2 linked regions of the Anolis sagrei genome follow. The protein of the gene in region 1 purifies or fractionates together with the protein of each later gene. This does not show direct contact. Links are inferred from orthologs where the notes say so. Each region holds a gene or a part of one and is shown on either strand. Other genes may lie near its edges.

Region 1 (3,754 bases):
CACGCCTGCCTCTAGCAGACAAGAGTTCTTTCTCCCACCCTGGACATTCCACAGATATACAAACCCCACTTGCCTAGTTTCCAAAAGAGATCACAACCTCTGGGGTTGCCTATTATTATTATTATTATTATTATTATTATTATTATCTTTATTTGTACCCCGCTAGCATCTCCTGAAGGACTCGATGTGGCTTACAAAGGCCAAGGCCTCAAAACACAACATAACAATACACAACCTAAACCAAATTAAAAACAGTTAAAGCAATATTAAACAACAAGCAATAAACAATACACCAGCACACAATAAAACTGGGCCGGGCCAGAGTAATGGGTACAGAATTAAAAGTGCTGATGTGACCGGTGATACGTAAGGATTATAGGGTAAGTGCAGTGTGCCAGCAATCTTAATTCTAATAAAGTGCTTCTGGGACTTATTGATGGAGTTTTCCTATTCTGGGAAGGCACATCGGAACAGCCCGGTCTTCAAGTTCTTTCTGAAGACTGTAGTCTTTGGTGATCTTTAGTGATCTTAGACAGGCAAAACATCAGGAGAGAATGCTTCTGGAACATGTCCATACTGCCTGGAGAACTCACAACAACCCAGTGATTCCGAGCATGAAAGCCTTTGACAACACATTTAACTGTCTTTACTTGGCCTTCAAATAATCTCCTGAGCTGCTATTAGCTGGTGAAAGGTGAAAACCTTTTTTGTGGGATGCAAGGATCTCCTTATATTGCGTGCGCTCCTCCTCGCCTCTAGGGGGCGGAGAGCCCAAACACGCCCGGGAATCAAAGCCACGCGATGTTACTTAGCCTTGGCCAGGACCGGAAGTGACGTGTCTCTTTTCCCGGCTAAGGCAAAGAGGAAGGCGAAGCGAGGCCTTGGAGCTCTTCATCCGCCGCGGACTCGCTGCGAAGTTTCCTTATTTTTCTCCCAAGAAGCCGGAGACCCTATTAACCTTCGCCATGGCGATGCAAGCGGCCAAGCGCGCCAATGTGAGTCTGAAGGGACCCTTGTTCCTCGCCCCAGAAGCCGTTTCGTGGGACGGGGGTGTTCTGGCCCAGCAAACCAGGCGGGAATGGGTTGGCATCCCGATAAAGAAAAGCTCCTTGTCTTCCGAAGCTTTGGGCTTTTATATATAACTCTGTGTGTGAAACTAAAATTCCCAAAGGCTTCAGAAAACAAGGAGGCTTTTCACAGAGATCACTGTGTGTGTATATAGATAGATGTAGTTATATCTATGGACCTATGAGCAGTAGTCCTCAACCTGTGGGTCCCCAGATGCTTTGGCCTTCGACTCTCAGCTGGTAAACCGGCTTGGGTTTCTGGGAGTTGTAGGCCAAAACATCTGGCGACCCACAGGTTGAGAACCACTGTTCTGGAGAATGAATCCACTTAAAATCCGGTTGCTGCCTCCTGCAGAATTCTGGGATTTGTAGTTTAAGGTAGAGCCGTTAACAGCCTCACTAAACTACAAACCCCAGAATTCTGCAGCAGGCAGGAACTAGATTTAAAGTGGATTCATTCTCTAGTGCAGGGGTCCTCAAACCTTTTAAACAGAGGGCCAGGTCACAGTCTTTCAAACAGTTGGAGGGCCGGATTATAATTTGAAGGAAAAAAAACCCGAATGAATTCCCATGCACACTGCACATATCTTATTTGTAGTGCAAAAAACACTTTAAACAATACAATAATTAAAATGAAGAACAATTTCAACAAATATTTATTCATTTATTTGTTTATTTACAGCTTTTATATTCTGCCCTTCTCACCCCGCAGGGGACTAAGGCGGGTTACAGTGTACACATATATTTATTTATTTATTTATTTATTTACTTTGCTTGTATACCGCAGTTTCTCAGCCCGAAGGCGACTCAACGCGGTTCACAACATAGCAAAAACAGTCATAACAAAATAGCAATAAACGATTTAAAAACCATGAAAGCACAATATACAGTAATGGCACATCAATAACAACACAACAACGTCCCCTAACTAGAATCGTGATCCAATTCGTTGTCTATAATTCCATTCCTATATTCATCATATTCATTGCACTGTTTATCTGAATGCCTGTTCAAACAGCCATGTTTTTAGCTTTTTTCGAAACACCATTAACGTCGGAGCTGATCTTATGTCCATGGGAAGGGCGCTCCACAGCTGAGGGGCCACCACAGAGAAGGCCCTGCTTGTGATGCAGGTGGGATCGAGAGCAGGGCCTCCCCAGAAGATCTTAGAGTCCTGGTGGGTTCATAGGCAGAGATACGTTCAGATAGGTAGCTTGGGCCCGAACCGTTTAGGGCTTTAAAGGCCAACGCCAGCAATTTGAATTGAGCCCGGTAGCAGATCGGCAGCCAGTGGAGCTGGTGCAGCAGAGGAGTTTTGTGCTCCCTGCGCTCCGCTCCTGTTAGTATCATGGCTGCCGAGCGTTGGACTAGCTGGAGCTTCCGAGCCGTCTTCAAAGGCAACCCCACGTAGAGAGCGTTGCAGTAGTCTAGGCGGGATGTAACAAGAGCGTGGACTACTGTGGCCAAGTCAGACTTCTCAAGGTACGGGCGCAGCTGGCGCACGAGCCTAAGCTGTGCAAATGCTCCCCTGGTCACCGCCAAGACCTGGGGTTCCAGGCTCAGCGATGAGTCCAGGATCACACCCAAGCTGCGAACCTGCGTCTTCAGGGGGAGTGCGACCCCATCCAACACAGGCTGTAACCCTGTACCCTGTTCCGCCTTTCGACTGACCAGGAGTACCTTTCGACTGACCAGGAGTATGGAAAACATTCAATGCCAATTTTGACATACAACATATACAGACAGACAGAGGCTATTTAACTTTTTTCTGGCCGCCAGGGGAGCTGTCGCTTTCATCGTCCATCTGCAACACTGATGAAGTACTTCCGCATTCCCCACATGCTTTTGCTGAAGTCTTTATGGCCTCATAAATTAGTTAATTTAGCCTCCCCACACTTTAAGGTGGTACCTTATTTTCCTACTTGACAGATGCAACTGTCTTTCGGGTTGCAAAGGTCGACAACGGGCTACACAATTGGTTGGAAACCCACTCCAACCCGGGCTGGCTTCGAACTCATGACCTTTCGGTCAGAGTGATCTTAATGCAGCTGACACTCAGCCAGCTGCGCCACAATCCCGGTGAATATAAAGTTATTAGTATTTCAATGGGAAGTGTGGACCTGCTTTTTGGCTGATGAGATAGGGTTGTTGTTGTGTGCTTTCAAGTTGTTTCAGACTTAGGTTGACCCTGTGCGAGGGCCAGGTAAATGACCTTGGAGGGCTGCATCCAGCCCCCTGGCCTTAGTTTGAGGACCCCTGCTCTAACGTGATGAAGTAGTATGTGTGTGAGAATCTATATGTGTGTGTGTGTGTGTGTGTATTTGTATATGTATGCGTATATTTGTAAACATACATATCTTGCATAATTTGATTATGTGTACTGGCCAGCTTGCTTTACATCCTACAGGTTGAGTATAATGCTCAATCCCTCTGTTAATGCAGCTCCACTGGCTCCCTGTGTGTTTCCAGGCAGATTGTTACCTATAAAGCCTTTTACGGTTTGGGTCCAGTCTATTTGCACGATCACGTCTCCCTCTATGGCAGTGGTTCTCAACCTGTGGCTCCCCAGATGTTTTGGCCTACAACTCCCAGAAATCCCAGCCAGTTTACTAGCTGTTAGGATTTCTGGGAGTTGAAGGCCAAAAACATCTGGGGACCCCAGGTTGAGAACCACTGCTCTATGGACT
Region 2 (3,754 bases), on another chromosome or scaffold:
TGGCCGGCATGACTGCATGGAGCGCCGTTACCTTCCCGCCGGAGCGGTACCTATTGATCTACTCACATTTGCATGTTTTCGAACTGCTGTTGGCAGAAACTAGGGCTGACAGCAAACATTAAATAGTTAGAAGGAGGGAAAAAAATCTGGAAACAATGTAATCTGATGAGGTAAAATGTGATATTTCATTCCAATTTGTCATGACATACCACATGGCAGGCCTCGTCTACTAAACCTCCTAAAGGCACCTCGGTGATACCACTTCATCCCACAGTAAAATAAAGTATTAAAGCAGCGTTAGCTCATGTACAGCTGAGCCTGGGATGTGTGGGTGATAGGCTTTCCAGCACTGCCAGCCATCACTGTGAATAGCGAGGACAAACCCCAATAACCTTGCCCTCACCTTGGCTACAAAGTTGGAGGCAGAGTGTATGAGCCAGGCCCAAAGAGGGCCCGGCACCAAGGCGAGGAGGCAGGCCGCTCATGCCCGCTCTTCCTCCGTCCCTTCTGGGGACATGCACTCCTTGTTTCCATGGAGCCACCACAAGGGCCGCATGAGGGACGCTCTGACCTAGGGCAGAAAAGGGGGAAGCTGGCCTCCCTTATGGAAGGGCGCCCTCGGGACTCAAGCCGCCTCACGGACGCAGCCACCAGGGCTCCGTGTCCGACCCGCAATCAATTGACAACCGGCTTCACGGCCGCTGCGCTCACCTGTAACCGACTGACTAGGACATAGTACGGCGCCATTTTGTTCACTGACAAAGATGAAGTCGCCTAGCGATAACGTCACGCGTCGGGTTTTAAAAGGCAGGCCTCAGAGGCGGAGTCTCCGCAGAGCGCGTCGCCGCCTTGACGCAACTTCCGGGGGCGTGGCTTTCCCAACAGGAAGTCTAGAGTGCAGCAGCAACACACTTCATATTTTTCATTCAGTCTGCGATACCAGTGACGTAAGAGGGGGGAGGGGCTCTGTCAGGTCTTGGCAGAAAGATATAACAACTTCGAATCATTCTATTCTTCCTTGTATTTCAAAATTAAATTGATATTAAGGCTTTGGCTTGGAAAGAGAGTGGAAACAAGTCCTTTACTCCCTACTGCAGATGGTAAAAAAAATCCCGCTTTTTGTGGCGCCGGGCCCTCTATTTGCATCCAGGACCTCGAGTCGCGCGGTTTGAAGACAGCCGGCGCGGCGAGGGAAGGAAGAGGGCAAAATGGCGAAGCACCACCCGGACCTCATCTTCTGCCGCAAGCAGGCCGGAGTAGGTGAGGCAAAGGCCTCCTCTTCCCTGGTTCGGTATTGGAGGGGAAGGGGGCTGCCCTTGGAGCGGGACCTTGAGGCCTAACAGAGCCCTAACATTGAACCATGGCAGTTAAAGAGGTGTCAAGGCATATTTATTTGACAGTGTACATTGCACCCAATTGTTATGTTATTCTACTTGGTGCTTGTGATGTTGGTCTTCCAATAAGGCCAGAGAGACATTGGGTAAGAAATAGTTTCCAGGTATGGGCAAACTTGGGCCCTCCAAGTGTTTTGGACTTCAACTCCCAGCATTCCTGACAGCCTCAGGCCCCTTCATTTTCTCCCTCAGCCGCTTAAGTTTGCCCATGCCTGCATTAAAGGCAGACTTACATAAAAAATGCCTTCCCCTGCTGGTGAAAGGAAGGCATGTCATGTTATGTTTAATGCATAGTAATATTAAAGCTTGGGATATGTTTCCACATGATATGATGGTGACAACAGGCTTATCAGTCTTGAATTCATGAATGGACAACCTGTCATTATCAATATAGAAAAGGAGACGGTTGCGCCTTTGTCGTCCCCGTCCGTCCCCCCCCCCCTTCCAGGGCATCTGGGTTGCTCTTCTGGAAAATGAATTGGTTGGATTTGGATGCACTGTTTGCCTGTTTAAACAGCATCCTGTGGAGAGTAAGTCAAGGCAACTCCTTTTGTGAAATATAGGCTCCATCAACATTGCCATATATTCCAGTTTCTGAAGGCAGATTATCTGCTTTAAACTGGATTATATGAATTTACACTGACCTATAATCCAGTTTAAAGCAGATAATCAACATTCAGAAAGTGGATTATACAGACCCACCGCCAAGAAACTTCACTTGGAGGACCATCATCCTCGAGCTATGAGGGATCGGCTAAGTAAGTCTATGGCACTGTAGATGGGGCCATAGATGTTTCCTGATTGCTTCTTCTTTCCTCAAGATGCCCAGCAGAATCTTTGTGGGGCCATAAAACCCGCTGGAGTGTGCTGAGGAAGTCACACTCTCAGCCCTAGATAATCTTGCAATAGAGCAGTGGTTCTCAACCTGTGGGTCCTCACGTGTTTTGGCCTACAATTCCCAGAAATCCCGGCCAGTTTACCAGCTGTTAGGATTTATGGCAGTTGAAGGCCAAAACACCTGCCAATCCACAGCTTGGGAACCACTGCAATAGAGGCTTAGTCGTTTGTGTCACCTTAAATCAGATCAGTCAAAAACAGTAATCATTCCATACAGTTCTGTCTCCGAAGTAGCATATTTTTCCTAATGCATCTTAGTACAATACAATATATTGTTTGTGTATAAGCTATTGTGAGTACTCTAGGTAGAAAAAAGGCTAATCACAATATTGTACCTGACTCAGATTGTTTAGGTACAGCTATAATGTTTTAGAAGACAATGTGCAAGACAACTTTTGTACATCCTTGGATCTGATCCATTTCATGTACTGGCTCAAATTTCCACCACATGTACACAGACCTTTTCACATGACCTTCTAATTCAGTGCTGTTTTCAAGAAACAGTGGTTATAATATTTGCTCTTGTATTGAGGTGGGAAGGTGTATTTGCTGCAGTGAGAGTCAGCATAGTAGTTTAAGCATTACAGTATGGCTCTGGAGACCAGGGTTCGGATCCCCAATCCCCATTTAGCCATAGAAACCCACTGAGTGGACTTGGGCAACTTACACTCTCAGCCTTAGATAAATGCAAAAGCAAGCTTCCCTTGCCAAGAAAACTTGGGATAGGTTCACCTAAGGTTAACATAAGCCGGGAACGCACACAACAACAAGGTTGCTGTAGTAGTGAGCATTTTTAAACCATCTTCTTGACTGTAAGAGCTCCTAACATAACAGATGCTTACTTTAGACTCCTGCCCTTTCCTTTATGTTCAAAAGTTATCTTATGAGCTTACCTTAATCTGCGTCATTGCTGACCTATGACGTACATGAAACATCAGACGTTGCTATTGTTTGATGGTTTTTTTTAAACAATGATAGTACTTTCTTTGTCCTGGCTTCCAAAAAAGGTATTAAATTTTTAATTTCTGTTGTTTTGAAAATGACGCTCTTTCATATGAGCAAATATAGATTTGGCAGACAGGCAAAAGATAATGCTAGTTTTAATTGTTTGCTTTGGATATAGTACTGTTGACATTTACAATGTATGGCTATGGCTGCAGTCCTAAGCGTGTGTACCTGGAAATAGGTCCACTGTTTCAACCTCATAACAACTTTGAAATCATGCTTAATATTTCATGAGTTTTTCAGCCTGGTTTTTGCTGCATCAAAAGCCATATACTCTACTATAATCTCTCTCCTACACACTGATGAAAATTGGTTATATTAATGTTTGGTCAAACATGAATAAGGGTAAGAAGTAAGTAATGTTTGACATTTGGTCCTGGAATATTGGAAGTTAGGATTTTATTAAATGTCTAAAAGAAATTATTTACTTTTAAACCATTACACTATGTAGCATGATT

What was found. The genes of interacting proteins can lie anywhere in the genome.
Region 2: the proteins of SF3B6 (region 1) and PHF5A purify together in Homo sapiens (affinity purification with mass spectrometry; 4 studies listed by BioGRID and IntAct, with this or other methods). This does not show direct contact. The link is inferred for Anolis sagrei from reciprocal best matches to the Homo sapiens genes SF3B6 and PHF5A.

The regions. Positions count from the first base shown.
Region 1 is NC_090021.1:139,467,439-139,471,192, reverse strand, and holds the start of SF3B6 (splicing factor 3B subunit 6), read left to right. Parts: upstream 1-827; 5' UTR 828-965; coding exon 966-995; intron 996-3,754.
Region 2 is NC_090025.1:161,415,800-161,419,553, forward strand, and holds the start of PHF5A (PHD finger-like domain-containing protein 5A), read left to right. Parts: upstream 1-1,133; 5' UTR 1,134-1,208; coding exon 1,209-1,260; intron 1,261-3,754. Other genes in the region: ACO2 (aconitate hydratase, mitochondrial), read right to left, coding at 712-747.